Linked DNA regions of Alligator mississippiensis. The protein of the gene in region 1 interacts with the protein of each later gene in a pairwise test. Links are inferred from orthologs where the notes say so. Each region holds a gene or a part of one and is shown on either strand. Other genes may lie near its edges.

Region 1 (7,735 bases):
GGGGTGCCGGGTGGGGGTTGGTGCCACAGAGCAGAGCGCAGGCAGCCCTGATCCTGCAGGATTACAGCGGGGATTAGGGTCTCGGGAAGAGGGGAGGGCCTGGTGCTGCAGGCACGGGGAAGCCCAGGCAGAGCAGGCAGGTCTGGCCCTGCTTCCCCTGGGCAGGGGAGGGGGCTGCAGGCCCTGGGGTCTCCCCCTGCTGCTGTGCAGCTGGCGGCCATGAGCCCTGCTCCAGCAGCACCCGCAGGGGCTGCAGCCGTGCCAGGAGGCCCCCAGCTTCCCGGGCCTGGGTGACCCCACGCTGAGGCTGAGGCCATACAAGGGACTTGATGCCAGGACCTGGTCGTGCACGATGACCAGGCTGAAGCACAGCCTGCCCGGGTGTCCCTCTTCAGCTGGTTCCAGCAAGGCAGGCAAGTGCTCAAGTGCAGGCCTGCACGCTTTGGCGGTGCTGGGACTCCCGGCCCCGTGCCCGCAGCTTCCTGCACCTGAGGGTGCCCCGCAGGTAGCACACCTGCCACCTCCAACGCTGCCTGCTCCTTGTGCTGCCGGGACAGGGCTGTGTGGAGCTCATGTCCCTCCTTGGTGCCCTCCTGCAGCTTGGAGGCCCAAGACCCTCAGCCCAGGGGCAGTTTGAGCCTGGCAGGTGCTCCCAGCTGTTCCCAGGCAGGGGGCAGCTTGCCATCTTCTCCTCCTCTTCTCCAGGCACCAGACACCCTCTCTCCTGCTGCCGTGGCAGGGGTGGCCCAGCAGATGCTCTGAGGCCCTGGCCAGCTCTGCGTCCCCCAGGCCTTGGCTGCAGGAGGGATGAGAGTGTGTAACGGGCAGCACAGGGATGCAGGGGGTGCATTGGCTGCAACGGAGCAGCATGGAGCCCCGGACCTTGCTCCTGCGGGGTTTAGCTAGGTGCGGGGGCAGCGGGGAAGCCCGCTCTCTGCCTATTCCAGCTGGCATCGTCACTCCCAGGAGCAGGGTCATGTGAGCATCCACCCATTGCCGAGGGAGGGCTGGGGCTGTCCCCGTCTGGGAGCTGCTATTCCTGCCAACCCGTTGGCGTTGCTGGGGTCCTCGGCTGGCCAGGGCAGAGTGGATGGGGTGTGGGGCTGGCATCAGGGTCCCTGGAGCTCTGTGCTTTACCCTCTCAAGCTCTGCAGGCCCGAGGGTGTGGGGAGGGCAGACAGGGCCCCGAGCCAGGAGGCAGCTCGTTGCCCACATGCCGGAGCTCAGCATGACATGCTCAGCCTTCCCTTCAGCCTGCGAGCCGGCGGCAGCAGCCCAGAAAAAGCAATCTGCTGGCCAGTTGCAGCGGTTGGACAGTGCCCTGCAGCCCTCCGGCCAGTCCTGGGTCAAGGCCCGTGCCCGGGGGCGCCTGCAGCTGGTGCTCCTGGCCATGCTCCTGCCTGGCATGCTGGGGTTTGTGTCTCGTGTGCTCCAGCGGCTGCAGCAGGCAGTCGGTGACCAGGTGAGTGGCCCCTGCCTCGGCTCTGGGGCACAGGCCACGTCCAGCTCTGGGGCCAGGACTCAGCTCAGCGAGGACCCATTTTGGGAGGGAGATGTCGTCTGCACCTAGGGGTAGGGGGAGCCTGGGTGGGCAGGGGTGCAGCCCAGGTCCGTGCCTGGGCACCCGCCTGGCTCTCCAGCCAGAGCCCCAGGCCCTCCAGCCATGCTGAGCATCCCCAGGGCAGATGGGGCATGCCCCAAGGCACCCCCCTGCTTCCCTGGGGAGCAGCAGGCTGGGCGAGGACCCGCACAGCATCCCCCTGTAAAGCTGCAGAGCCGGGCTGTGCCCAGCAGACCCTGCCCCGGGCATGCCAGGTCCCTGGGGGCTGCTCGTGCCCCCTCCCCTGAGGCTGGCGGAGCCGGCGAGGGTGCGCTGGCCCCCCAGCCCCACTTCCCTCCCTCCCTCCCTCCCTCCCTCGGCGGTGTCGTTTCTGCACCTTCCTTTTCTGCAGCGCGGTTGCTATGCAACTGTCGGCTCCCTGGATGCTGGAAGCGCCGGTACTGAAGGATAAGCCGGATCTAAAAATACCCGGCTGCAAGCACCCCCCCGCCCCTCCGCCCCGGGGTGCACGGGCCGGCAGGGCAGGACGCGGGGCCTGGAGGGGCTGCTGCCTGGAGGCTCCCAGCCGGGTGGATCGGGGCCCTGGCAAGCGCCCGGCAGGGAGCCGGGATTGGCTGGGCGCGTGCGTGGGCTCCTCCAGCGGGGAGCTTCCAGCTGCCGGCGCTTCGCTCCTTCTGCTCCAGCCAGATTGGGGAGACTCTGTCTGCGTCCCTGTCTCCCTCCCGCTGCCAGGGTGGGGAGACAGCTCCCCATCCCCGTCCTGGGCACCGCCGGGGCCTCCCGTGCGGCTCCCAACTGGCTCCGGAGGTGCCGGGGTCGCCACGCCGGGGCCTGCGGCATGGGGACAGTCAGTGAGCTCTGTGCCTCAAGCTTCCAGGCCTTCCTCTGCCCCTCGGTGACAGCCAAGGCAGGTAGGTGCAGTGTGGCGCTGTGGGGGCGGTCGGCTGGGCACGTCCCACACTTGGCGCACGGTGCCGAGGGGCTCTAGCACCCAGGCTGGCAGGGCTGCATGCTCCAGGGCTGCTGTTCCAGCCCAGCAGCCAGGCAGAAGGGGCTTCTGGCTTGCGAGGGCCCAGGAGCTGTGCCCGAATGTGTCTTGGAGACGGCTCTGGTGGGGATAGGGCTGAGCAGCCTGGCGGCATGGGGCCTGGGCAGAGCCTGGCTGTCCTGGAAGTTGCCCCATGGCAGGCATGTGCTGGCCCCGTGGGGCTGCCGGCGGGAAGGACGGTGCTGACGCAAGCCTGGGGTGTGCAAGCGGTGCAGTGAAAACAGGATGTGGTGTCTGGTCCCCATAGTGCCGAGGTGGGGCCAGAAGAAGTCAGGAGCGGTGCATGCCTCTGAGCAGGTGCTGGGCCCAGCTGTTGGGGCTGGGGACTGCGGCACTGCCTGGTACCGTGCATGGCCAGGGCCCTTCCCTGCCCTCATGCCTGCAGATGCTCAAGGGTCCCCAGCCCCTGCGCCTTGCAGCAGGGCCCATGCACCAGCCCTGTTGTGCAAAGCCAGACGCATGCTATGCAGTGTGTGAGGATAAGAGTTTGGTGGCCTCTAGCTGCAGGGTGGGGGCTGCCTGCCAGCCAGGACAGGGTTGTCCCCACTGCTTCCTTGAGAGGGTCTTTGTTTTCCAGGAGAGTAGAGGTCATTAATGGTACCAGGAAGGGGGGAGCATGCCATGAAGCCCTGGTAGGCTTGCTCCAGCCCTGGTCCCCTTAGCCCTTCTCTGAAGCCTCTGCTTCTCCAGCCTCAACAGCAGGCATTGCTTGAGCTGGGGGAAGTGTCCGGGGGGCCCTGTGTGTCTAGCAGGGGCAGGGATGCCATCCTGGCTCGGGGTTGTCACAAGCCAGGTTGAGCCTTTGGCTTTTACCACCTGCCAGGGAGAGCCAGACCCTCCCGTAGCTCCCACACATCTGTGCTGCCCCAGAGCTGCGGCTCACCCTCCCTGCCAGGCTGCCCTGAGCCTAGTTGCTGACGTGGAGCAAGGGTGAGAGGGGGCAGTGGGCTGGGGCTCTGGGCTGGTGCCCGGGGACCCCAGGCCTGTGATGCGCTGCCTCTGCCAGCAGCCAGAGGCCTGGGGGTCCATGAGCCCGAGAGACCCTGGGCTGGGCGCTTGGCAGCACTTGGAGCCATGGTGCAGGGGGGGAGCCTGGTCGAGGCATCAAATAGCTGTCCTTGTGCTCCAGGAGGGGCCTGGGCCCTGAGAGGGAGCAGAGACGGCCTGTGTCTGGGCATGGGACCCGGCCTGCGCCATGCCCCTTGGTGCCTGTGGGCAGGAGGGCACAGCCGGCGCCTGCAGGTCGATCGTGGGATCGATGGCTCAGCTGGCCCTGGGGATGGAGAACCACCCGGGACAGGGGCAGGGACAGGGCTGGCGAGCCACAGGGCAGGTGTGTGGTTGGTGCCGGCAATGGGGACTCGGGGCAGGGCTGTGCCTGGGCTGCCATGTGCCGCAGCGGGGCCCCTGTGCCAGCAAAGTGCTGTGTTGCAGGGAGGAAGGAAGAGCAGGCGGGGCCAGCGGCCTGGGCCCAGGGCTAGCGCCGGTTAACTGCCTCGTGCCTGGGCTTGGGGCTGGGGGGCCCCGCCGGTTGGCGCTTGTCCCCCTCGCATGCCCACCTGCGGCGTGGGCTGCACCTGCCTCTGCCATGGGGCACGGCCACCACCCGGGATCTCTGGAGCGTGTTTCACTAGCTCCTTCCAGCCAGGCTCAGACTGGGCTTCCCACCTGGCTCTGACGTGATGAAACCAGCCCCCTCCACTTCCCCAGCCCCTGGGCTCAGGACCGTCCCCCTGGAGTCAGGCCAGGGTGCTAGGCTGGGGGATCCCCCAGGCTTGGCCAGGCCTGCAGGGAGGTGGGGGGCAGGGCAGAGGCCGTGGCCAGAGCACGGGGTCCCTGCCCAGCCGCCCAGCTCTCCCAGGTGTTCCCTCTTCCCTCCAAGCCCACCCTGCACTGCCCCTGGGGCTGGAGCCATTCCTGGCTCCGTGGGGGCGCGTGTCCTGGGGCTGCCGGGGAGCCGGCTGGGTGGGGGTGGGAGCAGAGGGGTTAATGGTGCATGAGCTCCGGGCCCTGTCGGGGCAGGAACAGGGTGTTGGCCAGGAGCTCGGGGAAGCCAGGATGACGCCCATCCCGACGGGTGGCTCATTGGCTCAGCGGCCGTGAGTCACTCCAGGAAGCGGCTGGAACCGCGGGGGCCCCACTTCCGTCCCCCCACACCTGGGACGCCCTGGGAGCGCCGGCCAGGATGGTGCTTAGCATGGAGCAGGGAAGCGGTGAGCTGGGCCTGGGGCAGAGGGCAGCATGGCGGGGCAGCCGGGGTGGGCCTGGGGCAGGAGCGGCTTCGGGTTTGTGCTTGTTGGAGCTGGCACTGCCATCCCAAGAAGCTCACAGCTCCCCCCCCCCCCCCCCCCAGCAGCTTCAGTGTGCCCTGCGATGCTGGGGGCTCTGGGGGTCCCCGTCTCCCAGGGCTTCTGCTTGTGCCCTGCCAGCAGGCGCCGGAGCTGGGCACTGATCCCTAGTACAACACCGAGGTGCCTGCATCCCTGCCCGGGCATGTGTCTGGGTCCAGGCTGGCACGCCTGCATGCTGCTGCTTGTCCCTGGGCTCCCAGTCAGGGACGGGGAAGCCCCAGGGCCCGGTCAGTGCTTCCCCCCCCAAGCCACTGGCAGGGTTTGTGCATGCCCAACCCCTTCGCCCACCCTGGGGCCTGTTCCTGCCTGGCTCCTGCCCCGGCGGGGTGTGTCTGCGCGGGGCGAGATGGCTGCAAGCCTCAGTGCGCTCATCAGAAGGCAGTCGTGGCAGCCGCGTGGAGCTAGACCCGTGTCCTCGGAGCCCGGGGCTGTCCTGCCCCCTTCTCCCTGGTCCACGGGCACCCCTGGGTGCAGGTCTGGGCTCACTTGCCCACCTGGCTCAGCCTCTGCTGCTTGGGCCTGGGGAGAAGCAGGCTGCTCTCCCTGGCTTTGGGGAGCGTGCAGCCGGGCACGACTTGGGGGCTCTGGCACGTGGGCTGCACAGCCAGGCCCCACACAGGTGCTCTGGTGCCAGACCTGTGAAGTGCCCTCCTGCCCCTCAGCGCTGCCCCCATGCCCGGTCCACCCTCCTCCTCCCAGCCGGAGCCTGCTGAGCGCCCTGCAGCCAGGGCTTGGTGTGGAGCAGGGGTGGGAGGCCCACCCCTCGACCACGGGATTTCACGACAGTGAAATCCCCACCTGTCCCAGAGCAGCACCGGGACTTCCCTGAGGCCTCGAGGGCTGCTGGGAGCAGAGCTGTGTGGCCAGGCTTCTTGCCTGGGGGCAGCTAGGACTCCTGGGTCCCCGTCTGGTCGCCACTGTCGCAGACTGGGGTAAGCATCCTGCTCAGCCCCAGGCATTTGATCGGGGGGGCATAACTGGGCTTTGCCCTGGGTGCGTTGTGGGGGGCAGGACAGCGCCGGGGGATGCCCTGGCAATGCAGTGCAGCTGCTACAGCCATGCCCTGTGTCTGCTTTGGTGCGAGACTGGAATGGTCTCAGGCTTCTGGTGTGGCGTCTCTGGGGGTGCAGGCACCGCAGGGTGTCGGTGCCCACGAGCAGGCATCGCTGCAGGGAGGTTGTGCCAGCGGGGAGGCTCCCAGGAAGGGGTTAAAGGTCCTATTGCTCCTCACCAGGGAAAACCACCCCGTCTGCGGTTTCCCTTCCCCTTTCCCAGTGCTGACGTCCCTGTCACGAGCCCAGGGTCACTCTTGGTGCATCAGTTGCTGCAAGAGGAGGGGGTGGCACAGCTCCTGCTCCTGTGTCTCATCACGGCTGTGCTGCTGCTGACTCTCTGCTGTGGCAGCAGGCCCCTCGCTGGTCTGCCCCATGCCCCAGGGGTGGGAGAAGACCTCCAGGCTGCCCAGCTCTGGGGCTTTGGGGCTGCCTGTCTCCAGCAATCCCCTCCCTTCCTGCCAGCTTGTTCCCTAGCCTGGGTGTTTCTCCTGTGGGGTGTTGGGGGTGACCTGGTGGCCTGGCTCCCCTTGGGCTTGGGCTGCATCTGGGCAGTGTCCTCCACTCTGCTGCTGAGTCCAGGGCACATCTACATGTGCGTTAATGCACATTCAATCTAGTCCCTCCATAATTTATGAGTTACTAGGAAAATGTGCATTAGCCTGTCTTCATAGACATAGATTCATAGACATTTGGGCTGGAAGGGACCTCAGAAGATCATCGAGTCCAGCCCGTGCCCCAGGGGCAGGAAGTCAGCTGGGGTCATAGGATCCCAGCAAGATAAGCATCCAAATGTCTCTTGAAGGCGTTCAAAGTGGGCGCTTGAACCACCTCCGGTGGCAGGCTATTCCAGACCTTGGGGGCTCGGACAGTAAAGAAGATCTTCCTTATGTCCAGCCTGAAATGGTCACGGAGGAGTTTGTGACCATTCGATCTCGCCATCCCTTGGAGCGCTCTGGTGAACGGGCATTCCCCCAGATCCTGGTGAACACCCCTGATAAACTTATAGGTGGCCACCAGATCACCCCTGAGCCCCAGGGCTCTCAGCCCATCGTCGTAGGGTCTGCTTCCCTGACCTCTGATCATGCGCGTGGCTCTTCTCTGGACTCTCTCAAGCTTCTCCACATCCTTTTTGAATTGGGGAGCCCAAAACTGGACGCAGTACTCCAGCTGCGGCCTCACCAAGGCCGAGTACAACGGGAGAATGATGTTTTAATGCACATTAACTAAAGAGCATGCTTTTAAAGTGATGCTTAATCTGCCTTAGCCTATCTTAATGCACGTTAAGCAGAACGCATAGTTTAGGATGCATTAATACACATTAAAATAGGCTGATGTGCATTAAAGCGTGTGTGTAGATGCACCCGAGGTGTTTCAGCAGTCAGGAAGCCGGTGGTGCCCAGGGTGCTGCTCGCTGCCTTTCCCCTGGGGGGACTGCGATAGGGCCACGCGTGCTGGGAGATGTTGCCTGTGTTAGCCAGCAGTCTCATGCCTACCTGCCAGAGCTAGCTGGGAGCCGGGCAGGTCTGATGCTGGAGGAGTCCTGGCTGCAGCCTGGCTCTCCCCATGGTGCCAAATACCAGTGAGGAGGCTCCTCCCTAGACAGTCCTGCTTGTGGGGCGAAGCTGCCAGCCCTGGCACTGCTGAGGGTGCCCTGGGGCGCTCGGGGCCAAGCCGTCCTGGCGACTCGTAAGGGTGGAGCTGCCTGCAGGCCGGGCCGAGG
Region 2 (6,859 bases), on another chromosome or scaffold:
AAACATCTGAGCGCTGTATGCTAATATTCACCAACCATGTATCATTAGCAGGAATAGATCCTATATTGTCCTTTCCCTCTCTGGATAATGTCAAATCTGGATTAACCTCAGCAAACCTGACTATGACTACTACGAATTAAATATATATCTGAAGTTCAGTCACTTACTTTATTAGAAAAAGACAAAGACAACACTTCAATACAGAAGGCATATTTCCTCTTTGGAGGGCAGGGTCTTAATAATTACTTCATGTAAGAGATCTCCCCTAAAAAGGAAGTTCAAAGGTGCTTTTTTAATATCCCAGCTGTTTTCAAAAAGGGGCTAAAGGTAGTTTCTATAAACAGGTTTTGACCAATCGTGTATCTTTGTTTTGACCACAGCATCTCCAAGTTAACAAACAACAACTTTTACTAATGCTGGTTAGTCCCTGATATCAAAGTGCTTGCCTTGAATATCAGCAGAGTCATCTCAGTATCAAACTGAAGTCTGGGGAACATTGAAATTCAAGACTAGTCAGAAGTGGCTCTTGGGCAGGGGTAGGTATATAGTCATCATCATATGCACCTTTTATTCCTGCCCCACTTGGTGTTTAAAACAAACTGTTTGGCAGGACTAGCCACATTTCTATTCAGGTGGAGCTGAGGGAGTCAACTGACCTTATGGTTCATTATTATCTGCTTGATTGCTGCTAATCTTTACACTCCATAGGTGCTAACAAGCCTTGTTCTTTCATTAACCAAGCTATCCTTTCTTCTACAATTATCTTGTCAGTTATCTACTCCTGGTAATGTTTTTGTTCCCCGCCCCCCATATGTCCAGTAAAAGTGTGCCACTATTGAGGAACCTGTACTGAATGGCTCTGTTCCTAGGGGATTTGAACCTACAATGTATCAGAGCCAAAAAGAAGAGGAACAGGGCTGAAGGCAGGCCCAGGTGTGCAATGGTACAGGGGTCAGAAGCAGGAGGAAGCTGCAAGGTGAGGCAAAGAGGTAAGTTCCTGCAGTGACCCTTGCTTGAGTTATTCATTGTAGTAGATGATGGAGGTTGTGGGAGGTTGAACCAGCAGCACAACCAGGATGACACGAAGGTGGGCATGGGTGGATCCAGAGGGGTTTGTCTCCCCATGTAGGAGACTAAACCCTGTGCGTGTGTGCGTGTGTGTGCGTGTGTGCGCACGCGCACGCGAACACACATATATACACGTGTATGTATACATATAGATATTCTTATATAACAAAGGACATCGTCCATCTGTCTGTCTGTCTGTAATGCTCTCGGAGCACTCATCATGGCGGCACTCTGCTGCCTCTGAGGAGCAGGACTAGGGGGGTGAGGCCAGCACTGCTGGAGTCAGCAGTGCTAGTGGAGGGGGACAGCGGGGCAAGCTCCCCCCTCTCCCCATTCCTGGGAGGCGGCGGTGGCGCTCTGTTTCCCCCCTCCCCTGCTCCATCAGTCTTGACAGTCAATTGGCTAGTATATACATATAGGGCATGTCTACATATCGCCATATGGCAACATTCCTACAGTACTTCTTTTGTAAGTATTAAAGCACGGTGCAGTACAGGTGATTACTGCACTGCACATGCAGCACATGGTTAAATTTTGCCATTATGGTGATGCAGTGTGTCACTACGTCACCATAAGGTGACGTGTAGACATGCTTATATATACATGTACACACATGTGAGCACGTGTGTGTATTTGTGTGTATTGGAAATAAAAGATAATGACCCAGTACTATTGGCAAATTTTCAGCACTAGCATGCTAAAGCAGATTGCATGTGTGCTGGCTGACATGGTTCTGGGGAAATTAAGGGCCTGTAATTGATTGCCTTGGCAATTTGATACCGAACTTACAATTTCCTAAGACAATGAATGGAAATCACTAATTCGCTGAGGGATAATTTCAGCACCGAGCAGCAGAAGGACTTTGTCTATACCAGAAATGATGTGTGATATTAAGTAATCAAGGATGATTTGGCTGCGGGGAAATGGAAGACAAGGAGTATCACTATCTGCCTTTGAGATTCTCCCATGGGCCAAATATTGTCTGATGTTTCAATGCACCCACATCATTGTGAGCACAACAGTGCTATGTATTCAGCATCAAAGTGCCATTTTCCACGTTTATCTCATTTCAGAGAATTATTATTTTCCGTTCTGAAGGGTGTTCTTTGGTTTCAAGATGGTTGCAGGCAGGCTGCAGTGGAGGGTCAGGGTGTGATCCTGTCTCATGGTGACTTAGCAATATTTTACTGCAAGCTAGTGCTTGTGGTAATCTTCTTCCTCCTTCCAGAAAGCATAGAAGCCTTCTCTCTTTCACGCAGGCCCCTCAGGCCATTCTTGCTTCATCCTTTTTGGTGGAAGAGGGATCCAGGCTTACCTCCTGGTTCTTCACCTGGCAGAATCCCAAGAAGCTTCTTTTGCATCTCAGCCCACTCTGTGGACAGTTCCTTCCTTTCTGCCCTGCCACAAGCGCCTTTCTGTCCCTGTTTACACGACTAGCTTTACCACACGCTGCTCTGGAAAGGGAGGGGCTGTAGTGAACTTGAACTGAGAACTCCACCCCTTCTGCAGTGTTAGGCCAGCCCTTTAAATTCCTTTAAAACAGAAGTATTTAAATAGAGCTCAGAGCACCCAGGCCTGGTCCCCACCCTCCCAACACAGCTCTCTGCCCCTCTCTTGAGCACCCAGTGCTTTGTTTCCTACCTCATTCCTACTGCACCCTCCACAAGGAAAGCCAGCAAAAACATCCACTTTGCAGCATGCCCTGTAGGTTGCCATGTCTGAGCATTGTTGATCAGGGTGGGGGAATGTAACCAAGGATCCTTCACCAGGTGTGATGGCTAGCATGATCTGTAACACCAGCTAAGCTGCTGAGGCCTCCTGGCAATACAAGGCCTCCTGGCAATGCACTTAATGCAAGGGCCTTACTGCAATCATTGAAGCTGGAGCTGCACAGCAGGAGTTATAGTAGGTACATTTTGGGGACATCCTAGCAATGAGGTGAGGTGTGGTCCAGGCTGTTCTGGATGATTCAAGGTCTTAGAAACCTGTGGAGCTGTAATACAAGTTTGGGAAGCCCCCAAGCTGCTCCAATCTACTCCAGGTCCTGGAGGTCCTGATTGCCCCAGGACTGGGAAGCTGTGAGTTACCTACATGACCTGTGCATGGGTGCTGCAGTATATTCAAATTTGTCCTGAGAAGTTCCTATTCTCAGCCTTCTCTTATGCTAGCAGGAGGGGAATTGTAACTCAAGTGCCTTGGGTACCTTCAGCTTTCACAAGAGGAGGCTCTTCAAAGCCCAGGACCTAAATTAGTCAGGGCTACAGATGTGAATGAATCCCAATGCTTGCACCATCCCTTGGAAGTCATCAAGAGCCAGTACAGAGTCAAGAGTAGATATGTAATATAAATTATCACACTTGACTGGAGCTCACCTTGATTATGGAGCCAGTGACAGATTCACCACCCCCTGTACTGCTTCATTTGGCACATGTCTGTAACAAGAGATACTGAAGAAAGAACACTTTCCTACTATTATGCATTCTGAAGGGATTGCATATTATTTATGAGCCAAGGGGAATGAGTTCTGCCATGATGAAAGGATAAAAACACACCCCAGACTCTTCAAGAGACTGAGGCTCCATTGTTCCCTCCACTGAGGCTACCAGAGGGGTTACCATATGGTAAGAGCGCAGTCTTTGCTATTAGAGATCTGTTTGTTTTGTTTTTTTTGCGGGGGGGTTGGTTTTTCTTCCTTTTTAAGGAAATGTACACACTCACATCGCATTTTCTTGACTTCCTCCTTGTCTCACACAGGGTGACTATATAACAGAAATAGGAAGAAGAAAGCAGTAGTATGCTGCAAGAATCCCAGTGACTGATTGTTTTTCACAGCTACACTGGAGGAACTTCACAGTCAGCTGAGGCACAGCTTCACCACTGCCTGAGAACAGCTGTGGGAAAGCCAGCCAGAGCAGTAGATGCATGGTGATTCTGTTCCTGTGGAGGGGTGAGCAACATCTGCTCTGTCTGTGGCTTTGCTGCTTATTGACTTAATGTCCTCATAAGTGCCTATTATTACATTGCTTGAGTTTTGCTCTGCTCCTTTCAGAAATGACCAGCAGTGTCCTGAATTCTGCTCCAGGAACTTGAGAACATTCTGTTTGCAAATTTCTCTTCCATTCTATCTTTAATTGCCTAGTGGGTTAGAGTAGCCTTTTATAGAAGATGGGCACTCAAATTTTTTTAACTGAGTTGCTTCTGAAGGTGGAAACAAGCATGGGATTGTTGATGTGTAATGTACAGAAACTTAGGACCCAGCACATCATTGCACTGCTCTAAGACAAATGAGTATAATATGCATTTTAAATGCTACCACATTAATCTGATCTCTTTGTGCACGCTGCGGCAATTTAAATGGATGCCCAAGGAACATGGCAGTGGAGAATTGTACCCTTCCACACAGATGAAACAGAATACAATATATGTAAGGATGGGGAAATTCAGCGGCTATTGATCATATCAAAAGACTGGGTTGGATTTATGAGAAGGTTGACCAGATGCAGAAGAAGATCATTTGCAGTGCTCTGTGCTCCTTGCTGTGTAGCAACAATCTGTAATAGTTGAGGGTCTGATCTTATTTCGGTACAGACTTTACTATTGCTATACCTAGAAGCTAAACAAGGAAATTAGCTTCCTGTCTGGACTATATGCTTTTAGTTTCCCTGAGCACACTTATAAATTATTTTTTTCTTGGTACAGGGTAATCTGGCTTAATACTGTCTAATGTTTCCAGGAATAAATATTGAGCATCTTCCCCCCTCCACTTGCCCTCACATTGCTGAGAAACCCATAATGCTGATATTAAGAGCCAACAGGGCCAATAGTGAACCACAGTGCAGCTGAGGATTAACATTTAAGTTGTCAGAAAGTTATACAGGGGTTAGCATTAAAGTAGGACTTGCTTTATTTGGCAGTCAGAATGGTTTGATCACATGAATAATATTAAATTAATAGTTGAATCCAATTAAAAACAAACCAACCGTCAGACCCTTTGTAAGCCCACCTTCCACTTTTGAGGCAGATACAGAGCAAAATGTGTGTACAGTCATGGGGAAATGCATTCATTCACAAGTCAGAAGGCAGAAACATAAGACTGAAAAAAGCCTGAAGGTTATGGGTTTTGCCATGGATGTCATATCCTGCCTTAGTCATAAAATCACTTGTTTTTGCTCTTTGCATGTCACATTTGTTTCAGCTCCATTTTTACATACAATTTACTATTGTTATATATAATGCATTTTTGTAAAAGGGTTTCTATGACTCTTGTCTTCAGTGGCACAGGACTGACCTCAGACCCAGGAGGAGCCCTCTGGTATTGTGGTGGGGTTTTTTTCTGTCAGATGCATTCTGGGGGAGGAGCAATGAGGTTTAATCTGTTTGTAAAGCAGCCTAAGGTCTGAGACCGAATTTAGGAGACCACATATGTACCTAACAGACAAAGCTACTGTGCTCTTTCATTAAAGGGTTAATATGAATGTTCAGTATTGCACAATTACTCAGAAGGAGAAATGACACCAGTTTTCCTTGCTATGTTACACATCGGACAACTTTATTTTTATATTGCTATCAGAAATTGAATCTGTAATCCTTCCATGAATGAGAAAATAAGAGCACTTATTACTTGCACATTGTAAATCCCAGTAAGGGAAGAGAGAGAATACACAGCAATAACCTACTCAGTGATATATGGAACCTCAGCAGTGACCAAAGAAGTGTTTCTCAACCCAGGTGATGTGGCATCCTGGGGTACCTTGAGTTCTTTTACAGATGCCATGAGGTCCCACACAATGTTAGCACTGTTAGGTGTGCAAAAACATGATCCACAAGATAAATCCAGAGTTTTTCAAATAGGAATTTGTAGTGTTAAAAAGCCTTCTGATCCATTGTGCTCTTCCTGAGTTCTTTGCAGTAGAAGAATTGCTCTATTATTTTTCTATAGTCAAAAAGTTAAAACAGAGCTGGCATTTAGTGAGGGGTACCTGGAGTTTAAAAAGGTTAAGAGACACTGTAATTTAGGAAATCTACATATTATATGCAAATGAAAAGAAAGCTGTAAAAGAAACCTTCCTGAATATGGGGAGAAAGATTATATCTTGTCTTTCTACAGAAACCTTTTCTGTAGAAAGACAAGTCATGCAGCTAAAGATGAGATCTGAGTTTTGGAAAAAATGGACCAAAAATGGTCTTTATCATAGGCGGTGTGCTGCTATCAATACAGCCCCCATATGTCTATACAGTCCCTAGCAGGTCTTAGCCACTACTGCAACACAGAAAGTATAAGGAGTGCATAGTAACTGCCCCTCCTTTGTAGTGTGGAATTCCTTAAATTCTCCATTTGTATTATTAGAGGGCCACTTAAAATTTGAAGTATGATCTCTAGGGGTAAACATTATATATGCACAAATATGTGTGTGTGTATATATTTTTATATATGCGTGTATTTATGTATATAATATGTGTACATTATAGTATATTGTATATGTATGTTTTATATGCATGTGTATCTATCGATACATAAAACCAAGGCTGGAGCCTTATATAGCAGCTCTCCATGGGTTCAGCTCTGCTGTGTACATGGCACTTAACACCCTCTTGGTAACACTCTTTTGGTAGCAACATAAAAATAATTTGCGTAATGTATAACAGGGAAAGGAAAACTGATGTCAGAACTTGGCAAACTGTCAACCATGTTATATCTCATCCAGCTAATCATGGATTTTGCTTAACAAGACTGGATAGTGTTCCATAACAACACGCAAACATAGATTTCATAGATTTCGTAGACATTAGG
Region 3 (7,804 bases), on another chromosome or scaffold:
GTAGCTGGTAACGTTCCTCCATTCCTTCCTTGGAAAAAGTTGTTTAAGAAGAGCTTGAAAAATTGAGAGATCTTTTTGTTTTTACTAATGAGGTGATAACTGCTGTGTAAGCCCCTGCTGGCTCCCTTGCTGACCAGCAAGAAGGGGTGGGGAACCCTCCTTAATCAGAGCATCCTGCCTCAGCTCAGTACTGTGGAATGAAAGGGAGGGCTGCTCTAGTGCCCCCCAGCTTCTAGCCGGAGCCACTGCAGGCATGTGCCTGCATTTTTTCAATCCAGAGGGGATGTCTGTGTGGTTACATGATTCAGCCTAGGCTGGTTAGACTAACCTGCAAAGATCGAATCAATTCAGGCTCAGGCTTTTTGAATGTCTGTCCCTAGCCCTCATGTCCAGAAACAGAGGCTTTCTTATAAAATTTTTCATCTGCTCAAATTTCTGGACCAAATTCATCTTAGATGCATTTGTACATCAAGCTCCTTTAGTCTGAAGGCTTTACCTGTCCTCAGAAAGAGTCTTTGTGTAATACATTCCTATTATCCTGCATGTTCACTCCCTTAGAGATTCTAAACAGGAAACTGAAAACAAAAGCTAGCGTTTCTCTAGCAGTTCTGAGGTCAGGGATTGAGAGGAAATCTGGGTTCTCCTGACAAAAAAGCTTACAGGGAACTTCCACAAGGTGGCAGCACCTAAGAACATTATGCTGCTGTTAAGTTAATCTTTTACATTGCTGTATTCATGGGAGTAAAAGGTCAGTAACGATGCTCTGCTGGAAGGCAGCAGCATGCTCCAGTTAAATGCAAATAGCTACATGCCAGTGTTGCTACACAAAACTGCTTACTTAATAAATGCACCCCGTGTATGCATAAATACACTGAGCACATATTGCATAGTAGTATATTTTTGAAGCAAATAGAATTTTTTCTAGACCTATCTTTGGATCATCTGCCTTAAGTATTCAAAAAGAGCAATTCTCTAGGATTTATCTGTAGCCTGACCCCATATAACAAATGTAAAGCATTACACAACATCACCTCTTCTAGCTGTGATGTGTTTAGCTATTAACTACTTTCTAAACCGTGAAGGATTTATAGCATACACATAAGTCCTGTTTTATTCAGTGTGTTATAGCAGGAATGACTACCATTAAAAATATTACTCATGATGTGACAGGTGGTTCAGTGACCCACCTGAGCCAAAGGAGAGATTGGGTGGACCTACTACTGTCAGGCAGAGTTCAAACTACAGAGAACTTTTATCAAGATGCTCCCTTGCCTGGTCTCTGCTCTGAATGCCAAAAGGGTCAGGATAACAGGTACTGCTATTAATACATAAAGGGAGTTAGAAAATAGCTTTTGTATATGTTCCCATCCACTGTGGGTGGCCAGACCTTGTTAGAAGCTGGTTAAGATGGAAGAGTGTTGAGTTATATAATGTTTTAAAAGTTATTATTGGTGTTACGCAAAATTATCAAGAGAGTAGTAGTTATAACCAGCTCTAAATTCCCTGAATAATATTCAAGTTAAGCATTTAATAATCTTTCCTAGTTCTACCCTACAATATACACAGGAGCTATGAATAAAATCAAACATGCCTAAATATATACTCATCTTAAGAGCCTGGAGAGGGGAGGGGAGGGGGGGAATGAAAAAAGTGTCACAAAAATCAAAGGTCCTGGCTAAATAAATATAAAGATCATATATCAGCATAATGTAAGCAATTGTAATCTACTACAGTGGCACTCAATCCTTTGCCCCCACCAGCCAGTTGAGAGGTGTCGGCCCAGTCTCTGGGCCAGATCAGACCCCATGTGCCAGGATTGGGCTCTGAGGGTGCCATCCCACCTCTGCCTGGTCCCACACGTTGGGATCAGGCTCTAGGAGCCCTGTGCCATCTCCATCCATTCCCATGTATGGGTATTGTGCTCCAGGGGCTCTGCACTGCCCCTGCCTGACCCTGCACACCAGGATCAGGTCCTGTACTACCCCACAGGCCCAATCTAGTGCGCAGAGTCACGGCCCATGGATGACATTGCACTGGAGGCTGGATAGGGACATGAGATGGGGGCTGAACACCACTAATCTAATACAAAGCTCCATCTCCTATAGATCTCAACTTCTGCAGTAGTGGAGTTGACAATCTAGGGAACTCATTTAGCCCCAAAACATAGCACAGCTAAGGTGTGGAATAGTGACATCAAACTACAAATCACAAACCTCTCTTATACAACTGCCCAATATCACAAATCAAACTAAGCATGCCCATCTGACAGAAAAAGAAACACAGGAGAACTATATTGTTAAGAAAAATACCAAGCAAAAAACCAGTAAATATCCAGGGAGAAAAAAGTATACAAGAATCTTAGAGATGCTAGAAATGTATTTTAAGAATTAACAGATTCTACCAACCTCTACAACAGCACTTTATAAAGTAGTGATCACTGTCACTGCCAAAAAAACAAAGGAAAGATACCAATGCAATTGCCCTTATGCAACAAAATGATGGTATGAAGTCAGCAGCACGTTACAGTCTCACTAAATAGAGAGCAATCCCACCCTATTCCCCCTTAGTAATACTTTATGGGTTCTTAACCTCAGGTGTTCTCCATAAAGTAGGAGCCTGACCAAGAAATTAGCTTTTTGTTTGCATTGGAGGTCAGTCAGAGACCTTTGCAGGATCAGAACTTAAGTGGTTGGCATTGACTTGACATATAGAATTTTGGCACTAAAAATTGAGGTACCTTTGTGATGAAGGACAGTCCAGTTGCTAGACTTCTATCTAAGTACCCAGGGATGCCGCTTTTCTTGCCTTCTCCATCACAGACTGCCTCTTGAAACACTGAACAAGCCACTTAGTTTCTCTTTGGCTAAATTTTCCCTAAGATGGGGATATTAACACTTCCCTGCATCATCTATAGATACCATGAAGATAACCTGTTACAGACAGCCAAACTGTTGAGAGGCTATAATTTGGAGGCCCACACAAGCACCTTAATCAGTTAGATAGCCATTCTACAGTCATATTCAGTCAATGGCAGAGTCTACTTCCTGACTAGCAGAGTAAGTGGGGAAATTTAAAGAGAAAAGGGCATGCTACAGAACTATGGTGTGTCACGTGTAAAGGTTTATCAGGTGTTCTTAACAGGTAACAACTTTAAGAAGGGCGAAGGCTCTGGAAGGAGCTGTGTCAGCAAGATGGGAAGCACCTGATGGGGCTTAACCAGGAGATAAGCCCAAGGCCAGAGCTGGGGTAGGCAGTCTCATCCTAGCTGCTGACATCCTGGCCCTGAGCAAGCAGCAGAGGGAGACTCTACTCTCCCAGGGGTTAACAGAAGGCAGCCTTAGAGCTGACATAGGGTCAGAGATATGCAGACACAGGGTGCTGCGATGCCCCTGAAGAGAGACACTTATTGAATGGGACACAGAGCATGATTAGCAACATCTGTGAGGCATGGGCATGGTGTAAGGGTCAATTGGAGTCATGTACTGCACTCAGTAGTGACACCTGAACAGTAGCATGGGATCAGGGATCTCTGGGGCAGTCTCCCTTTCCAAGGATGGAAACAACCTTGGAACAAGGCATGGCAGGTGAGGTGAAGGGGAGCAAGCCTGAGAAGCAAGAGCAGAGCAGGGGCCAAGCAGCCACCAGTGTTAGGGACAGACATTCAAAAAGCCAGAGCCTGAATTGATTCAATCTTCGCAGGTTAATCTAACCTGCCTAGACTGAACTGTTCTGCAAGTGAATAGATACTCAGGAAATACAGGCACATGCCTGCAGTGGCTTAAGCCAGAAGCTGGGGGCGGTGCTAGAGAGCACCCTCAGCTGCAGGGAAGCTGTGCTGGGGTGGGGGGAGGAAGAAGAGGGGGGACATGGACAACCCTGGCAGTAGCTTCAGGGGATCTGGCCAGGGAGGGGGTTTAATTCTCCACTCCTGCCCCATCAGCACAGACCCAAGCTGGGGTCCACCTGGCACTCCCCTCTCACTTTTGCAGTGGTGGAGGCAGGGGCAGGGCCAGACACTGGTCAGCATAGCCCTCTGAGGCAGAGGGAACAAGAAGGGGGTTTATTCCCTACCTCCACCCCCTTGGGACCACAGCCAGGGTCTGTCCACCCCGACTGCTGCTGATCACTCCCTGTGTGGGGCGAGCAGTAGAATAAGCCCCCTCCCTACCCCCTCCACCCGATGCCAGAGGGAGGGGAGAAATAATCCCCCTCCCTTCCCCCTCATCTAAGGGGGCCATGCCAGCTGGCCTCTAGCTGTACCCCAGCCCCTGCTGCTGGAGTGGCAATGGGGAGTGACCCTGGCAGGATAGCAGCCCCTCTCATGGTTTCCTGGGACATCAAGGCTCTTCCCAGCTGGGGCCTATGCTTCAGGCGGCGGCAGGTAGAGCAGGGCAGGCAGAGCTGCCACAGACTGGGTGGGGTAAGCACCGGCACCGGGGCTCAGAGGGGTGGCAATAGCCCCCCAAGGCCTCCCACACACTACTGCCACTTGCCCCATGCAGTCTGCAGCAGCTCTGACCGCCCTGCACCACAGCGTCCCCCACCAGGAAGAAGCTTTCACTCCCTGGGAAACCATAAAAGGGGTTCTTGCCCCCATCACAGTCCCTGCCCCTTTGCCACTCCAGCAGCAGGGGTGGCGGCATGGCCAGAGGCCGGCCAGCATGGCCCCTTCAGGCAAGAGTGCAGGGAGCGGGTTATTTACCCCCTCCCTCTGGCATCTCATAGAGAAGGCAGGGAGGGGGCTTATCCCACCATTTGCCGCATGCAGGCAGTTGGGGCAGGCAGACCCTGGCTGCAGTCCCCCAGGGACAGAGGGGCTGGAAGGGAAATAAAACCCCTTCCTGGTCCCTCTGCCTCAGGGGGCCAGGCTGGCCGGCATCTGGCCATGCCCCCACCTCTGCAGCAGCAAGTGGGGAGTGCCAGGTGGACCCTGGCCCAAGTCTATGCTGGTGGGACAGGGAGGGGGGAAATTAAATTCCTCTCCCTGCCAGTTCATTTGAGGCTACTGCTGGGGCTGGACACATCCCCACCACTGGAGCAGCAAATGGAAAAATGCCGGTCAGGGTCTGCTGAGCTCCTGCCTGTTAGACCCTGCTGGGGTCCATGATAGTAGGACAGGGGAGGGACAGAGGGAAAAACCTTTTCCCTGACCCCTTTGCCTTAGTGGGGCCAGCGTCTAGCCATGCCCCTGCCCCTGTCCACCGCTGTTCCAGCTAGGGAGCAGAGAGCACAGCCTCACACAGGGCTACAAAGCATGTCAGGATGCTGGGGGACTCTGGTTTAAGTTAAACCAGCTTGAGCTCAACCAGTTAAGTCTGATACGACATTCAACCAGGTTTATATTAAACCATTCTCAGCCATTTTGAAGGTGGTTTATGTGCACTGAACTTACGTTGTGTTACAAGTTTAAACCAGTTTCTGGTCACTTGAACCGGTTTATGTGTAACTTCTGTGCCTAGCCCAGGGGACATTGTGGTCACCCCTAGGAACAGTGCTTTGGTACAAAAGGCTAAACCCTTCCCCCACTACCCCACCTAAAATAGCTCATTAGCCTGAAGACTTCTACGATCAACTTCTCATAGAAGTTCCCATCCAGTGGCTATTCAAATAATACTTTGCCTCTCCATTCAGATCTCAGAGCTCATCAGGAGAAGATGACAGAATCCATGTGCAAAGAACTTATGTAAGGAAAAAGTAGGGTTTCTTGCCATGACCTTCCTTGTTGGGCAACACACCCATCTCCCCCCACTCCCCTTCCCCACCCCAAATCCAGGAATATTCCCATTTATTGTAAATTCCTCTGCCACAAAACCTCTTTGAACATGAATGGTGTTTTATCTATCTATTCAATACTACCACAGAGAAAAAACTTCTTCCACTTTCTAAAAGGATTTTATTTTACCTGCTGTCCTTTCTCCAATTTTACCCAGGAAATATTTGGATTTGTGAAGCAACTACTTGGTGGCAACTGCTATTGGTCCCCTCCCCCACTGGCCCATTTGAAACTCATTTGAAGACTCAAATGTGTCAATCAGTAACCAGGAGAAGCAGAAACAAGAACAGAGCTATGACATAGGCTAGGAATGGATGGGAGGACTGAGATAGCTAGACATAGCCTTACTAGCTTTACACTGTAAAAAGCCATGTATTACAAATACTCTGAGTTTTTACTGACCATTTAAAAACTTCTGACAGCAAATGGCCTCGGAGATTTTACAAATAATTAATCTTTGCCTGAACTGCTGAAATTTACCATGGAAAGTGAAGTTTCTTCATGCCCCTTTCCCACTGCAGTACCATTAAATATTTATATTATCACCTGAAGCCTTCAGCCAGGATCAGGGTCTCATTCTGCTGAATAAACAATAGAAGACATGATCTTGCCTCAAAGAACTGACAAAAGCAAGCTTGAAAGGGCAAGTGAGTGGATATTTGTTTTGTGTAACTTATGGCCCTGTAACGATGATGGGTGAATCCTGTCCATACATACCTGAACCAAGCCATTTTAGGCCTCTGCCAAAATGATGATTAACTGAACTCTAGAGTATTTAATAAAATTGATTATTTTTGCATGTATCATTAAAGACAGGACTCAGACTCAAAGTGGGGAGAGTTGTTTAAAGTTGTGTAAAGCCCCTGCTTATAATCTTGTATCTTTCAATTAGAGCCAAGAAAACTGGTTTTCAATTTCTTTTCTTCTGTGATCTGCCACAAATAGCAAACTCCCCCTCCTCCTCCTCCCCCGCTCCAGTCTTCCCAGTTGGTATTGTTTATGTGGACATACAACCATGGCAAATTCCAGAGCTATATTTTGTGGCTTTCTGACTCGAGGATCATTCTGAAGTAGTTCTCATTGGCTATTCTTCCAGCTAAATATTTACACACACATATACACTGAGCATAACTTTTACTTATGTGCATGGGCAAAAGCTCAGCATATTTCACATAATTTTTTAGAGGCTACATGTGTTTCACATCATGACAACATGTTGAAAATATGTGCCTACAAAACACATTTTAAATGTATTTATACAAAACACTGTGTGCTTATGCTGGAGGTGTTTGCTATATATAGAAAAACCAAAGATTAGATTTCCTGTTCTCATTCCTTTCCTTCACAATCCTGTCTCATTATTAATCATTTTCAGGCTCTTGTTATGGCTTATTTGTACATTAAATTTAAGTGAGATAATGTTTATGTTTAAAAAAGAGCATAAGGAAGCAAAAAAACAATTGATGTGGTAGTAGCCCCTGAGCAAGCAGCAGAGGGAGATGTTTCACCCAATTCACTTTTAAAATGTGACCTCCTGCTCCATATATAAGGACCTATCAATTAAAAGGCCATTTCTGATAGAACCTGAAAGCATAGCTGAAACAATTAGAGTGAAGAATGATTATTAAATGCATTTGTGGTGGGTTTAAAATCTTTTTTTTAAAACAAGTTGTTTCATAGTTGGTAGGGTCGGAAAGGACCTAAGCAGATCATCTAGTCCGACCCCCTGCCATGGGCAGGAAAGGATCCTGGGGTCAAATGACCCCAGCTAGGTAGCTGTCTAGCCTCCTTTTGAAGACCCCCAGGGTAGGAGCCATCACCACTTCCCTTGGAAGTTGGTTCCAGCTCCTAGTCACCCTGACTATGAAGTAGCGCCTCCTGATGTCTAGTCTGAGACTAGAAATGTGACTAGAAATAAATAATGTGACCTTCTCCTCACATACTGGAATAGTGTTATAACCTGATGCAGTCACAATTCAGTTCCTCAGCTTTTTAAAATTTGGTTGATTTGGCTGTTGCTTTTGCTTTATG
Region 4 (7,332 bases), on another chromosome or scaffold:
TTATAGAATTCATTCCCCCACAGTGAAATGCTGACACTTAAGACATTGCTTAATGTCTTGAGACATTGGAACTGAAAACTGCAATAGGTAGCAATTCATAAAGAGAAATCCTATGCTGGTATGGTGGTGGGGACAAGCAGCTCTATAGAGCTTTGCAATTTGTTTGATTCTATAATCTTAGTTTGCACAGATCTCAAGAAAGCTGAGTAGTAGTAGTTCTGCAGAACCTCAAGTAGCAACAGCCTTTCATGTTCTTTGATACTGCTGCTATTATAACAGTACAGTATGCTATGGAAATTGCAGAACCTAATCAAAGTGTGAGATGTGCTAGTTTGAGCACCCATGCTCTTCATTTAGGCACAGCGTATGCCTATGTATAGCCAGCATCCACGAACCCCAGCCATGCCATCTTATTTATAGGAGGTTGCAAGCAAATCTCAAAGAAATCATTTGAGTGGTGTTAGGAAATATACTTGTTTACAAATCACTCTATTTTTCCATATACTTGGGAGCCTTTTAAAATGCCTTACAAAGGAGTAGGGTGAACAGCAAATACTTGCATGTATACTAACATTATTCCATTGTGCTAACAGTGGGCTTTAACAACGGTAATACCTTACATTTTTAGCATACCATATCTCAGAAAAATCTCAAAACTGTTTATTAACAATATTTGTGGCACACGCAAACAAAATTAGCTCTGTTTTACAAGTGGGAAAGCTTAGGCACAAACAAATTAGGTTGCCCAAGGTTACACAGGAAGTACATAATTGAACCAGCAGCAGAACTGAAACCCTTTTAACTTTCAGACATCTGCTTTTATTCTCCCTTTGTGCTGGTCTTTATCCATAGATAGCCCAAACATATCTGAAGCATCACCTTACCACAGAGCCCTCCCCATCTCCGCTAATACTAATGAGAATTATATGCTACATCAAAAAAAGAGATCACCAAGGCAGGATCCAAAGATCCTTCACATCTTTAAGTGAACTCTGCTCCCCTCAAGTCACACTTCATCGGTTTAAATGGGAGGATTAGGGTTAATCCAAGACTCAAAACATGAGAAGCATTGTGTCCACACACTGGTATTTGTGGGACTGTTACTAAAGTGTAGAAAAAACTGGATTCCTAATGCTAATTCCAGCATTTCTGTAAGAAGATCTACAAAGCATTGAGTGTAATTAGATTGACTTAACCCTGTGCAGGAGTGCCTGTGTGGCACTACCTGACCTTAACTGGAATAACGATGGTGTCTTCATGCAAGGTAGTTTCCAACAGCATACCCAAACATTCATGAAACCAATAGACTGGACCTTGATGTTGCATACAAACATAAACATCCTTAAGAAATCACAAAAGATTATAAAAAAAGCTAATATCATACTGAAGCTGCTGCTTCTTGAAAATGTAAATATCAAATAAGGAACCATTGTCCTATATCACTAACAGGCTTGTGGACTTCAAGTCCTTATAATTAGCCATGAGACACAGACTTCTTCAAAATGTGTCCCTGTAAAAGAACCAACTCATTAACATGTATTTATCCGGGGTGGGGGAGGTTAGATGCACGTAATAATAAGCAGCAGGTCAGTTAACAGAAGTCCATATGTACGTAACTCTAAGCTAAACGACTTCTGCAAAGTACCCATCAGTTGTGCAAGTTTGTTGTGAAGGGTAGTTCCCATGCCTGATGTACATGTTGAAATTTATTTTTCACACACATGGCTGTGTCATAGCCACTATCATAAATGTTCTCTCTCAATCAGGACTGATTGCCATACAGAGACAAAAGAAATTGTTTCTTTATCACAAACAGTACTAGCTGAACAAAAATCAGTAAGAACATTCCATGGAAACATTAATCTATCCAGTTCTGGCCTTGCTTTATCTTTTCTCAGGTTGTACAAAAAAGAAGAATTAAGAGCACATCTATTGATGCACAAAGTGAAGGCTTAAGTGCCCAGTCAATACATAACAATTCTTTGTTGATAATTTGCATTTATAATACATTTCAAATACTTTGAATTTTGATTGATTTACACCAGATCACTAGATAATATCCTGTAAGTGCTCATTTGTCAATTCACAGGAACAGTAAAAATGGAAACAGGATTTTGTTAGCAGCCAATTGCAAAAGACAGAAATCTGTCATGTTGTTAACATAATAGGGGGAAAACAAGAAAAACAAATAATTTTGTATTGAGAAATATCCAACCCAGAAACACTTTCATCACTTTTACAACAGAGATCGACCCAGGTGGGCACATCTACATATTGCTGGTATCAGTCATATCTGAAAGCAAGCCTATGGGGAAACAAAAAGCCTGAACATGGCATACATTGAAGTAAAATAAATTAAACTTAAAGGACATGAGAAATCCCATAAGCCCTGAAATCAACAGCTTCTTTTGATTCTCAGCATACCTGTAAACTGAGAACAAAAAAAAAAAAAACCACAGCCACTACTCTGGTTTCAAAAGCTCTTTATATGTTTCAAGGTGCTTTAGAGTTTGAATTCATCCTGTGTACGCTTACTGCAGGAAATTGGCTAGATTTAGATTTTTTTGAAAGAATTAATTACTATTCAAAACAAAGCAGGCCAAATTTATCCTTGCTGTAATTCCACTGACTGTGAAAATCAACCTATAGTTGAATCTGGCAAGCTACATTCCACAACAAACCTTTTAAATTACTTGCTAATAACCTTGCCGATTACATTTACAATTGCAAATACAGAAAAACAATTAGCTGTACTCTCAAAAGGAAACTTCCTGCAATAGTAAAAGCAAAAAACTTACCTGCCTGCGTCCTCTGGGTAAGGTCCCCACTGCATTTGCCAGGTTCTGAAATTGCTTATTATCCATCTGCGGGCTGCACATAGTTTCCAAGTAAGGAGTATAAGGACTAACGCAGAAGCCTGCAAAATTGGCATTACGGTTTTGCTGAATGAGCCTTCTAAAGGACATGATGGGTGCTGATCATTTGAGTAGCACTGTCAAATAACATGGTATGACTGAAGAAACTAAAACTGTAGCCTCCTCTACCAGCAGTCAAAAAGTATCAGAATGGAAAGAGGGCCACGTGACTTGTGGTTTAGGTGCATGTACAGAAATCTCTTCTTGCAGTTCACCAGTGTTACTCAATGTTTTTAAGCTTGTGGAAGAGCTAAGAGTTGGGTTTTGCAATTAGAGAAATCTGCTTATTTTTCCACTCCTGGAAGCAAATGGATCTCTCATCAGGCAGATTTTATATTCTGTAATGGTTCTGTAAGTCAGCATCTGTTTTGAAAAACAAAACTTTCCTAAACTTCCATTCTCAGTGTTCTCTCACATTTCTCAATTATCTTTGGCATAAAATGTGGAAAGCCATGATTTTATCAAGTTATTACTTGAGTGCATGATTAGGGACATAAACAAGGATTAGACACCAATATAAAAGGATATGTTGTAAAAGTGCTCTATTTACACCCTGCAATATTTTTATAGTAAATATTTATAAAGGGGAATTTGCATTTTGTTGCTAATATGCAATCAAAAAATCTATCAAATTCCATTCTCATGTGTAAGGATCTCAAAGAAACCTAAGGCATCCTGGTTGAGAATCATGGACATAACCCCCTCAGAAAGAGAACTGAGATTAAGTGAAGCATTGTGAAGGAAGCTGCTGCGATATGTTAATTTTTAAAAAGACACCTGGTTCTGTTTAGTATTAGATTTCTGGAGTGTGACACACCATAAAAAGAACAAGAACACAACAGAGGATCAAACTCAGTAAGAAACCCATTTGGACTGTCAGAAGTAGAATGTCTTCTTCAAAAAGACAAGTCAAGTAAAATGTAATGGCTAACACAATGACCCAGAGGAACAGGCATCCGCCTTCAGCATCCTATGTGCAAAATGAAGTGTATTTTCTACCTATGGGGACTTTTGCCATCTCTAATTTTTCCTCATCCTGAAGAAGGGTGTGTGCTCCTGAAAGCTTGCAAAGAAAGATACATTTTTGTCATTTCTTAGTTGGTCTAATAAAAGGTATCATCTCTGAACCAAGAGTTTTAGAGTTTTGCATGGCTAACACAATTCATTTTTCCTGCTTAGCTGATCTTAATCACATTTCTGCTACGGTAAACCCATTTCCTCCCCTGTTACTTTGCTCTGCTGTTTCCTGTATTTGCTTCACAAAGAGAAGCGTCATTTGCCTAGCTGTAGTTTCCTGTACCACTGTGAATTGACATATATGAGGCCACAGGCACCAGAACACAAAGAGCAATCACATCTTCTACCTACAGTTTTTACACAGAGGTACATAGGTTGATTCTTCAAACAAGGAAACTACCAACAATTAGGTAGTAATGAAGTAAATATATTTTCTTGCTTGATTTTAAAATGACAATAAGAATAACATTAATGTAATGATAGAATACAATTAGAGTGAGGAAATTAACTGCTTACCAATCCTAATGTTGGTGTATAGGTCATTTCCTTATTCTAATATTTTTCTCAAGTAAAATTCCCAGTGGTTTCCAGAGTAATGTCAAAGTATTTTACAATAATAGTATAAAACCTAGTGGACTGCAAGTCGTGGTATAATCCTCTTGTACAATTCCTCTGTCGCAAGGCTGTTGCCACTGTTCTTCAGAGTAGGTGCATAGAAGACAAGAAGGTCCCTATATTTTAGAGGAAAAGTTCTTCATTCTGTCAGAAGTATTGAATGGGGAGTCAGATTAGGACCCATCTAAGTTGATCAACATGTGATAGATCAATGAGTTGATATACTCAACACATAATAAAGCAGCTCTTGACACATGACAAAATTTTTACTATGGCAGGTTCCCAGGTGAGGAAACCTGCTTCTCTGGAAAAGAGAGAAGAAAAGACATATCCTAAAACCAAAGTCTGGTCCAGGGAGTTAGAAATAGCCCTAGTACCAAAAATCACCAATTTACCAAATCTCTTTGGCAATATTAAATACATGAATAGTGTTACTTTTTCCATTAAAACCAAAGTGCTATTGTATGTTATATTGATGTCATGATGTCCAACATCTGAGAGAGAGGATGACTGATTGAGGAATAAATAAAAGCACTGAGAGAAGCACCTGGAAGTACTAACTAAAAGCAAATAGAATGGGAGTAATTGTCATTGCAATCTTCTATATCAATACATGAACATAGATAAGTCACATACTCGCCTTTAAGGTATCTGTGGTATGCTTCTTATCTTATTGGATTCCTTTATATTCTCATTTTTCTATATTTTTCACTTGATATCCTTGTGAATATGACATTTTAGCTTTTCTCCCCATCATTTTCTGTTATTCCATTTCATATTTCTCTTCACTTATTTTATTCCATTTTCATTTCCTATCCTCCTAGCAGGCTATTTATAATTCAGATGAAAGAAATTTCTAGTAATTTAACAAATCAGTCCTTTTACTGATCAGTTAAGTGGGAAGCAGACAAACAAGAAATCAATGAAGAGACTGGTCTGAATTAATGCGATTCACTCAGCACAGGATCTAAGTCTATTTTGATTGCAAAGTTTGCGGGGCAGGGACTGTCTTTTTTTTGTTGTTGTTGCTCTCTGTACTGTGACCTAACATTTGATCTTAGACAGCACTGATCTTGCTTTATGTATGGGACTCTTAAGTGTTAGCATATTTTGAAGGAGATAAAACACTAAATGATTTAAATATCATAAATAAGTAAAATAGTGCTTAGGTTGATGACTGATCAGATCAAATTAGATCTTAGTTTATTCAAGAGTAGAAATACTTCATTCAGTTTAAAATCCACTCAGCAAGTAAAACTGCAGAAATTGATTTTGACCTGACTATACTTGGAAAACTAAAATTAAGAGACAAAGGATGTATTTGTGGTTAAGATATTTCACTCAACTCAAAGACCTAAATTCTGTTCCTGGATCTGCTAATGCTTTCCTGTACAGCCTAATCAGATTTCAAGAGTGAAGCGGGGTTAAAACTACTCATTACATGGCAAATTTCTATAGGCTTGTCTAGGCTAGTGTCCTAGTAACCAGGAATCATCATAGTGGATCAGACTCAGGACCCAACTGGCAGCCTATATCATGGGTCCGAAAATGGCCAGTATCCAATGATTCAAAGGAAGGCACAATACAATATGCTGTAGAGAGATGTGGTGCAGTCTGTCTTCTATGCAATCCTGAATCATTAGAAGTTGATATAAATCTCTCTCTAGCACTCTTGTAACTCTTAGCATTCTTGTATATTAATGAAATATTCATCTCCTCACTGAGTCTCACTAAGTCCCTGGCTTCAATGATACCCAGTGGTAATGAGATCCTCAGCCTAACTGGTCATTGTGTATGAAAATATTTCCATAACCCTGTTTTGAATTTGCCACACTGCTGCATTATTTTTGTCTCCCATTTTGTGTTTGAGCCCCTTTAGTTTTATTTTAAATAAATGTGTTAACTTATGGACAATTAAAGTCATGTTTACATGGCCCCCTACTAAAAAGTAAGGTTACCTACTCCCAACTTCACCTATGTTCAAGCCTAGAAAGCAACCAGAGTAAACAACACAGAAGCTGTCTCAGGCTCTTGCACTAATATGCACTAAGAACTTATCTGAACCATCTCTTCTCATTGCCAGACTTGGATGTGAGGTGAGTGGAAACAAGTGAGCAGGATTTGCTTTTCAGCAGCAATCCCAGGCTCAGCAGGGAGGCAATACAGATACTGCCATGTTAACTACTACAGTTCTAAATGAAAATATAGCTCTCTAAAGCTGCTTATTCCTGAATACCAAGGTATTTCTACAACTGCTTGAACCACAGACCACAAATTTTTGTGTGTCTTGAAACAAATATTTCTGCACCCCCCAAGGTTGAATTTACAATTGTTTTAGCTAACTCAAGGTATGTGATCGAAACCCTAGACTAGACAGAGTCCAGGTAAAACCCAGATTTTGAAAAAAAAATATTGAAAATTGAGGGAAAATTTGTTTTTCTGCCAAAGTTGTGAAACAATGCTTCATATCTTGCTTCAGGGCACTATCTGGAGATGAGAAGAGTATCTTCTTTCAACTGAGTCATGTTTTGCTATGGTCATTCATCATCCTACAAGTATTTTTCCTAATAAGGAAAATAAGCTTTAGTGTCCTGATCAAGGTATAGTTTAAGAGATTTTCCCTGCCCTTTTCCCCTGCAATTCCCATGGAATTTCATAGTCTCATTCACATAAAAGTCTGTGTAATATTATTGTGTACTATCACATATAGCCAGTTGAAAACAATGCTTTGTGTGAAAATGTGAGCACCCTGATGGCCTGCCGCTGCTGCTGCAGGTGGGGTTGT

The links.
Region 2: the proteins of CYTH1 (region 1) and ITGB2 interact in a two-hybrid assay, tested with the Homo sapiens proteins (2 studies listed by BioGRID). The link is inferred for Alligator mississippiensis from reciprocal best matches to the Homo sapiens genes CYTH1 and ITGB2.
Region 3: the proteins of CYTH1 (region 1) and IPCEF1 interact in binary tests that used the Homo sapiens proteins (3 or more experiments, as listed by UniProt). The link is inferred for Alligator mississippiensis from reciprocal best matches to the Homo sapiens genes CYTH1 and IPCEF1.
Region 4: the proteins of CYTH1 (region 1) and CYTIP interact in binary tests that used the Homo sapiens proteins (3 or more experiments, as listed by UniProt). The link is inferred for Alligator mississippiensis from reciprocal best matches to the Homo sapiens genes CYTH1 and CYTIP.

What each region holds. Positions count from the first base shown.
Region 1 is NC_081831.1:723,236-730,970, reverse strand, and holds the start of CYTH1 (cytohesin-1), read left to right. Parts: upstream 1-4,720; 5' UTR 4,721-4,794; coding exon 4,795-4,822; intron 4,823-7,735. UniProt on the Homo sapiens protein: Promotes guanine-nucleotide exchange on ARF1, ARF5 and ARF6. Promotes the activation of ARF factors through replacement of GDP with GTP.
Region 2 is NC_081827.1:188,078,294-188,085,152, forward strand, and holds the start of ITGB2 (integrin beta-2), read left to right. Parts: upstream 1-3,848; 5' UTR 3,849-4,015; intron 4,016-6,859.
Region 3 is NC_081824.1:133,246,751-133,254,554, forward strand, and holds the start of IPCEF1 (interactor protein for cytohesin exchange factors 1), read right to left. Parts: upstream 3,014-7,804; 5' UTR 2,738-3,013; intron 2,510-2,737; exon of another isoform or gene 2,406-2,509; intron 1-2,405. UniProt on the Homo sapiens protein: Enhances the promotion of guanine-nucleotide exchange by PSCD2 on ARF6 in a concentration-dependent manner.
Region 4 is NC_081827.1:222,880,318-222,887,649, reverse strand, and holds the start of CYTIP (cytohesin-interacting protein), read right to left. Parts: upstream 3,018-7,332; 5' UTR 2,967-3,017; coding exon 2,799-2,966; intron 1-2,798. UniProt on the Homo sapiens protein: By its binding to cytohesin-1 (CYTH1), it modifies activation of ARFs by CYTH1 and its precise function may be to sequester CYTH1 in the cytoplasm.